2 linked regions of the Caenorhabditis elegans genome follow. The protein of the gene in region 1 interacts with the protein of each later gene in a pairwise test. Each region holds a gene or a part of one and is shown in the gene's direction. Other genes may lie near its edges.

What was found.
Region 2: the proteins of K04F10.7 (region 1) and B0507.1 interact in a two-hybrid assay, tested with the Caenorhabditis elegans proteins (one large-scale study listed by BioGRID).

The regions. Positions count from the first base shown.
Region 1 is NC_003279.8:6,364,531-6,368,812, forward strand, and holds K04F10.7 (Protein FAM76A), read left to right. Parts: upstream 1-1,800; 5' UTR 1,801-1,947; coding exon 1,948-2,012; intron 2,013-2,068; coding exon 2,069-2,117; intron 2,118-2,172; coding exon 2,173-2,322; intron 2,323-2,395; coding exon 2,396-2,875; intron 2,876-2,921; coding exon 2,922-3,059; 3' UTR 3,060-3,548; downstream 3,549-4,282. Other genes in the region: K04F10.1 (AXH domain-containing protein), read left to right, coding at 539-673, 738-1,157, 1,211-1,324, 1,367-1,510, 1,561-1,647; ZC308.4 (F-box domain-containing protein), read left to right, coding at 3,776-3,846, 3,903-4,218, 4,271-4,282.
Region 2 is NC_003283.11:8,774,735-8,780,133, forward strand, and holds B0507.1 (EB domain-containing protein), read left to right. Parts: upstream 1-1,835; 5' UTR 1,836-1,850; exon of another isoform or gene 1,851-1,896; intron 1,897-1,910; 5' UTR 1,911-1,925; coding exon 1,926-2,102; intron 2,103-2,165; coding exon 2,166-2,385; intron 2,386-2,539; coding exon 2,540-3,025; intron 3,026-3,109; coding exon 3,110-3,534; intron 3,535-3,585; coding exon 3,586-3,949; intron 3,950-4,248; coding exon 4,249-4,424; 3' UTR 4,425-4,584; downstream 4,585-5,399. Other genes in the region: B0507.2 (BRO1 domain-containing protein BROX homolog), read left to right, coding at 125-1,073, 1,538-1,627.

The DNA.
Region 1 (4,282 bases):
ATGCTTGAGGTACAGGCTGAAAGCATCAGAATCTCAGTTTATTCAAATTTAAATTTAACAAATAATTGATGTAAACATAATGGCAACTGCCCTATTGTTGAATTTGAGCCAAGAATAAAATTGGCAGAATCCATAAGTTTACATTTCCAGTCTGACTTGAAAGTAGCATGTTGTTCCAAATCGGGATAAGAGACGTGATTTGGAGTGAAATTAGTTATTCTGACACAAAAAATACGCACAATTCCTTAAATTTCAAATTTTCAAATCTTAATTTCCGTGCGCACCCCGACCAAGAGAAGTGAAACGTTTCTGCAAGCGACCAAAATAGCGTCAATAAGCTCTACTTGACGCGTTTATTGCATTTATTTTCACAAGTATTCTATACGTACATTTCTTTCTCTTATCACACAAGAAATACACAATTCTAGCCAAACTGATAAAGCCATCATTTTTTGTTCATAAATCGATAGATAAGAATGAACTTGTTTAATCAATCGACTCCGGTAACGAATTGCACGTATTTTATTGTATCAAAATAATGAATTTCGCTCCAAATCAGGTTCTCAATCCCGATTTGGTACAACTGTTACTTGCAAGTCAGACTGGAAATGTAAACTTATGGAATCCTGCCAATTTTCTTCTTGGCACAAATTCAACAATAGGACAGTTGCCAGTACGTTTACAGCGATTATTTATTAAATTGAAATTTGAATAAACTGAGATTCTGATGCTTTCAGCCTGTACCTCAAGCATTTCATTTTCTACCTCCACTTCCTCCTCCAATCACTGTTACACCACTAACCCCGGCTCTTTTGCCAACAACGTCTTACCCCGTGGAAGTTGCAACTGAAGATACTGCACCACATATCAAAACTGAAGAACCTGATCCACAACCATCAACATCTGAACCATCAATAGCATTTGAAATGGGCACAATCCCAGCTTCCACTTATTATCCTACACATTTCATGCGTGGTACTCAACTCAACGTGGCAAATGGAAATATCAAAAAAGTGGAAGATTTGTCATCTGATGACTTTCTCAGATGTGCTGCAGAATCAGATGATGTTATTGTCAATGCTTCTGTGATCAAATCTATTAAATCAACAGCTGGAAGTGTTACTATTATTTTTGAAACTGGAATTGAGAAACAACTAGTAATAACTAAATAATTTTGTAATTTCTGAGAATATATCAACGGTTGTTCCAGATACCATTGAAGTGTCAAGTCGAGCACCCATTCTTTGTATTAGGGAAAGGTTGGTGCAGCTGTAATCCTCGGAAAAGTGGCGAGAACTATGGTTTGGATTGTGAAATTCTCCAGGTAACCAGTTGTTGCAATTTCTCCCAATTTCAATATTCTCAGGTAGATGATGTGTGTATTGTGTTGACACGAAATGAAGACAAAATAACTGACTGTGCTGTTGATATCGTAACTGCAGAACGAGATTTAGAGTTATTCAGCCAGCGGGCGGCACTCAAAGAACAACTTGTTGATGTTTATTATGAGGTATACATGGGATAAGTTACTGTATAGGTACTGTATTTTTATTATTTCAGCGAGTTTCTGGCCGAGTTTCAGCACCACCGGAGAGAGTTTTGGTGACTTTTTCGAACGAACATCGCGAAAGAAGGATCTCGGAATAATTTAATGTTATGTTTTTATATATTCTCTACTAATAAATGTTCGAAATAATCATACCCAAAGGCTTACAATTCTCGGAACAAAATTGTCTCTACAATTGAGGAATGCTGCGCGTCAACTATGTGGTTTGATGTGCATTGTGACGTGAGGGTGTCTGCACTCTTTTCTTGTCTCGCTGCAACGCTGACGCTTGTGACTGGTCTCTATTTCTTTATTTCTCTGCTGCATTTTCGGTGTTCGACGGTAACCGATATTAACCGATTTGTTTGAAAAAAACTCGACTCGCTCGAGTTCTCTTGAAAATGCCTGGTCCGATTCTTAAAAAGTGTTTTAATTGTCGTGTAGCACTTCCTGAAGACGCCATTAAGTAAGTACACTTTTTCTGGATTTTTCAAATGAAAAACTATAATTATAAATTTTCAGCACAGCTCAATGCCAAAAATGTCAGAAGAATGAGGCAAAATACGGAAAGGTGAGTGTAAAAGTTTAATTTTCATGTCGATTTAATGTAATTTTTATCGTTTTAGCCCGGAACATGTCAATATTGTAAACTGAATGCTGCTTTTCACGACCAAAAATGTGTGTGGTGTTCACATGCAGAAAGAAAGTTCGGAAACCCGTTCCCATGTGCTAATTGTAAATTGAGTTGTGCATTTCCAAGAAGAGAAAGTGATAAGGTGAGATCGTTTTAAATTTTCTTGTTCCCCCTTTTGCCTTATCACCAACAAATTTTAATTTCATGTTTTCCAGGTCGAAGGTGCTGCATTGCTCTGTCGATTGTGCATTTTACAAGCTCGTCATACGAATCAAACCGTTGTAGCAGGAATTCCAGTGCCACCTGAGAAGCCAGAAAGATCAGGAGAAGGATCCTCAACAGAGCAGAGAGATCGAGATCATCGTCAACACCGTCCAACATCTCATCATCATCGAGATCATAAAGACCATCATCGACGAGACGACAAACATCATCACCGCGATTCCAATCATCGTCATGCTCACAAACGGCGACACCAAGAAGAGCCCAATAATAACAGTAACAACGGAACATCTTCGTCTGGTGGAGCTCCACCTCTAGTTCCAAACAATGAAAATGGAAATGGATTCCCTCCATTCGGAGATCGTGATCCCGGAGAGAGTATGGTGAAGCAACAGAAAATGGAAGACGAGATTCGCCGACTGAAAACATTGCTCGCTGAAAAAGATCAACTTATTTTTGATAAGGATAAACAAGTATGATTTATATTCCAGTTTTAGATTATTGATTGAAACATTTCAGATCAGCAATTTAAAAGCCGACCAATACAATCTGGATAAAAAGCATCGCGAACGTGTCCAACAACTTATCAAAGAAAAAGAAGACAGTATTCGAGCAATCGAACAAATGCGAAATTCGAAAAGTTCTAAGAGGAACTGATGTCAATTGAATATAAAACTATTCCTTGTAACTATTTTTATTAAGCTACCAGTTTTCATAATTGAAAATCAATTCTTCATGCCATATTTCGAAATTTTGTGTTCGAGTTTTAAATCAAAAATTAATATTTGGTTCGTGAGCTAATATCTTTTTTAAAATGAAATTATCTTTTCATTGTATTATTCACCTAATATTTACTTCAATTTGATCCAAAGTGCACCTTCCCCCTATCGCTCTCCCCGGTTGACCCGGCATCCCTTTCACTCGTCTTCTAATTACAATCTTTGGACGTAGCTACTTCTATTAACCTACTAAATTTGTTATAGTGTACCCATTTTCTGTCACTGTCATCAATGCCTGTCTAGTTTGATAATCTGTGAGATAATTTTTCTACAAGTCTGTAACATGTTTTTTTTAAATTTTACTTTTTTTGAGATTAGTCTTTTTTTCGAGTCTTTGAATTTTTCATACAATAAACTGTTCTCGTATAGCCTTGACTGTTTTTAAATCTATAGCATAATACATACGCTTTATGGCAAAATTACAGGAGAACTATGTTTTAAATTTAAAGTAGACCTGATTACGCGACATCTCTGGAATCTTTTTTGACCTACGGGCGCAGGCGCGACGATTGCGGAAACATAATTTCAACTGCGTACTAATGAAGAGATGGAAATGCTTATTTTTTGTGATTTCTAAACTTTTGAATCTTCATCATGACCACCGAACGTGTTCTCCAGTATCCGAATTTGTTAAAAATCGTCCCATATCTCAGTTACAGTAAGAGGTTCGTTAATTTTTTTTTTCTGATTAAAAACAGTGAAGCATTACATTTTTTTATAGAATGGAGCTTTCGAAAGTTTCTCCAGAATTTCGATCAATTCACAGTCGATTAGACTATTCACTGAAGACTATGTCATTCTCTCAGGATTACGGAGCAATCAGTGAAGAAGGACCAATAGAAGTAGGATCAGGAATTTTGAAGGTGGAGTCAATTGAATATATTTTTGAATACGATGAGAACATGGATCAAGTGAAAATCAAATGTTTGTTGGCCCCGGAACTTGTGAGATTCTCGAATGATAAGTCAATAATCAGAAGATATTTTCATTATTACCTGGCCGCTTCACAACGAATTGTTCAGCATGTCAAACTCAGGGTTTGTGAATTCATTTTTCGATTATTCTTGTTGATTATAAATTACATTTCAGGAAAGTGACAGT
Region 2 (5,399 bases), on another chromosome or scaffold:
CAAAAATTACTATACTTTTGGTTTACCAGTTTTGATTGATTTTTAACCATTCCTTTTTACAAACAAATTTTTTAAAGAAAATACTTTCCAAATTAAACATTATTTAAAGTACGCTCTTTATCAGGGAAAACAAGGACGCAGGCAACAAAAACAGCAAACTAATTCCACTGATCCGCTTCAAATGGGGTAACTCAATGCTTCCACAAGCCGCCACAGAAGTTTCGGATACTTGGTTTGAAGCTCTCAGTATGATTCAATGTATGGCAATGTGGCTCACAAAGCATGCTGCGTCGATGGCTGGAAAGGATGAGGTACGAGAATCTGATGCAAAGGAATGTCTTCAGTGTTTGAGACAAGCAGGTGGAATGTTCCAATATGTGAAAGATGAATCATCACGACTTTCCGGTGCCAATGAAGTTGAAGGCTCAGATTTTGATCCGAAAGTTATGGAAACGTATATTTTGACTGCCACAGCAGAAGCACAAGAGGTCATTGTAGCTAGAGCTATTGAAATGAAACATGATGATGGATTAATCTCATCGCTTGCTGCTGTAACTGCATCGATATTCTCAAAAGCTGATCAATGCCTGAATAATTTGCCTGATGAGAGTTTTGCGAGATGGAGAAGATATCTGCAATTGAAGCATCATTTCTATTTGGCGTATGCTTTTGCCTTCCTCGGACAGAAACAACTATCAGAGGATAAATGTGGAGAAGCTGTGAGAGCTTGTAAGCAAGGAATTGCTGAGTATGGAGTTGCTAAAGAAATGGCAGCAATGTATGCAACTGCAACTGGTCCTGGAACTCGTATCAAGCCTGAGCAACACTTGTTCTTCAGAAGAATCGAGCCATTGCTCAATCGACATTTGGAAAAAGCGGAGCGAGAAAATGGATTCATCTATCATCAAAAAGTTCCAGATGAGATTCCTCAATTGGATGTAGAAGCAACATATGGATTGGCTAAACTTGATTCGTTTACCTATCCTCCACCAGCGGAATCATGGAATACGGCAGTTTATTCCGCTTTTGATTTGTCCAAAGCAAATATGCCAGATTTTTCAAAAATTAAAAAGGTAGGCGCGTCGATTTTTTAAAAACTAAATTAAACTAATTACATAACAAATATTTTGAGTTCTGGAAAAACGTGTTTCAATTTGAAACGCTCAATTTTTATTTCCGTTCTTGCCTTCTAAAGTAAAAATTGGATATAAATTCAAAAACAGCAAATTCAAAAATTGAGCGTTTACCAAAAATACAATTTTGACAATAAAATCCGTTCAAAAAAAGCGAAAACATGCAATTTCCGTTAGTTTGATCTAAAAAAAACAACAGATAATTTGAACAGTATACGGATTTATCAAATGTTAACACATTTACAAGGAAATTTTTTTTCATTTTTCATTTCCAAAAAATCTAGGAAACATTCGAATTTGTCATACTAAAACTCCTTTAAATTTCTTCCTTAAAACATTCGACTTAAAAAATGCATTTATTAAAAAGAATAAAGCATTTAAACTGTTGTAATCACTAATTTCAGAGCAAGTCAAAGCTTGATCCAGTTCACGAGGAGAAAATCTACCAAACAGAAAAGGATCCCAGCAATTCCAGTGGATGTGTGATTGCCTAATAATTCGAGTCTTTGTACATTACTGTTCTTCACTATTTTATTTTTAAACATTTCCATTTCCCCTTACAACCATGCCCATTTGTATGCAATGTTTCCAATTTTAGCTGCACGCGTTCTCATTGATGCTGGATGATATACATAAAAATGTACATGTTGTTGACACGATTGAAGACAGTGACCAAATATAACGGTCAGTTGAGCATGCGGCTGAATCAACCAACAGGTGTGCCAACATTCAAAGGGCGGTCCTTTGGGGCAGATCGGATATAGCTGGAGATTTTAGTTTCAGTCAGTAGCAATGCGATCCCGTCGGCTAGTCATCCTGTCAATTTTGTTATTTCTCATTGGAGTTGTCAGCGCTAGAACAGCGTCTGGAAGAGGATGTACTCATTCAATGCAATGTGGTAGAGGATTCTTCTGTCAAGAAGGCGCTTGTAGGAAAGATTCGTGTTCCAATGATTTACAATGTGACGAGGTATCGTTTTTTTTTAACTTCTAAGTATTAAAATGCGCGGAGATTCATTTAAACGTATTCTAGGGTGAAGAGTGTCGCCCTGGCAATGTTAACGGACGACAGAAATCCGGATGCTTCAAGTCACTTGTCCCGAAATCGGCATTGGGAGGAACATCGGAAGATTTTTGTCCAGGAGGAGGTGCACTTGTCCTCTCTCCTACTGGAACTCTGACAATCTGCGATTTGACTGAAGACTGCCCATCAACTCACATCTGTAATCCAGTGCATGGAGTTTGTTGTACAAGTAAGAAATCGTATTGATTATAAAATTCTCGTTGGAAAAAAAAGGGACCACGTTTTCAATAAAACGTAAATATTTCAGGACATGGTTATTCATTTTGAAAAATTAAATGAGGATCCTCATTATCAAATTAACCGGTAAAATTTACATTCTTCAGAACTACCAACCTGTCCAAAAACTAAGAAAACCATGGTTAACTTCATAACTGGCAAACCTATTATGTGCCAATTCAAACAAGGAAGAGTAATGCCATGCCCTGAGAATGGTTTCTGTGAGACTACAACTGGATTCTGCTGCGTCCCAGGTGTAGATGTTGAGCCCCCAGTCGTCGTTACCCGTGCACCAGCAATCATTGAAAATGAACGTCCGTGGCGAGGACAAGTGTGCTCTCCACAATCTGGATGTTCTGGTGGAGCAGCTTGTATCTGTGGAGCCCGTGGAAATTGTATGTGTGAGTGTGCCACAGACTTTGGATACACACTTGCTTCCGATGGAAAAACTTGTCAAAGAGTTAGAAGACGTCTGAAAGAAAAGTGTAAGACTGATATGGAATGCTCTGCTGCATTTTCAGAATGCTCTTCAGGAGGATGTAGATGTAAGAGAGGTTTCAAGAGAAATGGTGATGGAGGTTGTGAACCCCTTGGTGAGTTTTTTTCAGCACAAATGTTTTTATCAATTAGATATCAATCAAACTTCATTGAAACTAGTTCATCTCAGAAAATTGCAGAGTACCGATGTGTCAACAAAGCAGCTCCCCTAAAACGAGATGAAAAGCTTATCACATGCTCTCTCAAAAACTCTCTTCTTTCGAGTGTCTCCACCAGTTTCAGAAGCCTGAAAAAGTCAGAAAATGGAAGTGATATTAACGATGCCGAATTTGAACGTCTAATGAAAGGAATTCAAAATGGAACTCTTTTGGATTTTGGAAATGAAAGAGATGATTGTCCAGATGAGCATTATTGTGTTCCTGTGTTCGATGATGCAAGTAAACCCGGTTATTATAAGGGATTTTGTTGTCCGTCTCCATCCGAAATTCGCCCAACATGCCCTGTGGGAGAACCACATGAATCGTCATATCCTCCAGACTATGGATGTAACAAATGTCCCGTAGATTATTACTGTCATAGGGATTCTGTAGCCACCGAGAAATCTGTATGGTTTTCAAAATCTCAAACCCCTTTGAAAGAATATCTAAAATTTCAGATTTGCTGTCCAAAGCCTTGTGTTTCACTCGAAGACATCTACCACGAAGGCCAGTGCTTTTCAATGGCGTACTATGGAGACAGCTGTCACATTTCGTCGCAATGCGTCTACTCAAAGAGTCCCGACGCCGCCGAAGAGTACGCTGAAGTTGCAAAAATGGAATGTGCCAGAAGTATTTGTTCGTGTCCAGCAGGTTTCAGTTATGCTGACGGACAGTGCAAAAGAATTATGTGCTCAATTGGCCTAAGAGGAGAACCATCAGTAGACAAGTCAGGGCAATTAATTCGTTGTGAGAGATCCAGTGATTGTAGTATGGGTCATATGTGTGATCCAAATACCCATGTTTGCTGCAAGGGAACTAACAGTAAGTGACTTCCAAGGAAATTTTATTTTGAAAAATTGTTCAATGCATTCCTTCTTGAAATCAGTATATGAATATCTGTTTCAGTTATCACAAGATTAACTAGCTTTGCAAAAGTGCAAACAATAATTAGAGTTATTTTATAATTCTGCTGCCACAACACCCTTATCAAATTACAAACTATAATCATAGAAAGCAGAAAACTAATGACATATTTTTGGGATTTTTCTGTAAATCCATAAATTGTTCTACCAATGTCTAAATTTTTAGAGATCTTCATTTTTATTGAATTATTACTTCAGGATGTCCAAAGGATTATGTTGAGACCGGAGAGCAATGCACAGATGACAATTGTCGTGGAATAAACCAAATCTGTCACCGAACCAAAAATGGCAAAGCCAAAATCTGTTGCACTTATGATGATGTGACAATGTCTGCCATGCGGGATGCCCTGAATTCAACAACAATGAATCTGTAAACTACATTCGCTTTGTAAAATCCCTTCTCTATATTGTTCACCCCTCGTTTTCCAACTCTTCTTGTTTGTACATTTTGGACGTGCTTCCCTTTTCTTTTTCCTCTTTTCACCAGTAGCCACCAACACCACCACCTCTTTAATAAATCCTTACATGACTCTCTTCTCGTCGTGTGCCATCCTCCACATTTGCTTCTTGTATCCTGTTGCTCTTCCTCATCGTCGTCATAGCGACTGGAGAGGATTCTGGAGAGAGGAAGCTGAAAAGGAGAGCGGACACACTTGGAAAATACGGATGAATGAGTAATCAGGGATGAATAGTGGATGAATGGCCAAGGGGAAGGCCAAAATGTCCTCTGTCTTTATCATGAATTCTTCTGAAGAAACCTGAAAAGCAGTGCTTCTAATAAACGGACCAATTCGTGACATGACCCTTAAAAATATTTTTCTGATGTTGTCGGTGGTGACATCTTCTCGGAACCCCCTGTGGCCGAGAGTGAATAAATTAGAGAAGAAGAAGACGAAGATGGCTTGTTGGAAGACGGGACGAAAACGAAAAAAAAAGAAGCGGAGGAGAGGAGGGCTTTTCGAATTCTGGAGCTCTTTTTCGCCTTCTCAACTACACACTCGTCATTTAGTGGTGAGGAGATGGAAATAGGGGGAATGAAGTCATCGTTTTGGTGGTCGTCGAGATGGAAGAAGAAGGCCATCTTTCCTGGAATGGACGAAAGTGAGCTAAAGTGAAAGAGCTCGGCTTTCAGTTTTTTTGTTGAACGATGGTGAAGCCATTCTGTGAGAAATACCTTCTGCCATTTTTAAAGTTTACATGAACGCTTACATTTTGAATATTTCAATCTTCAAACAGTTCAAACAAAACTTCAATCTTAGAGTCGCTAATGATAGTTATCTTATAAACAATTTGGACGTCCAAGGAATTTTTGATTCCCAAATATAAGTTATAACCGTGTTATAAGAGTA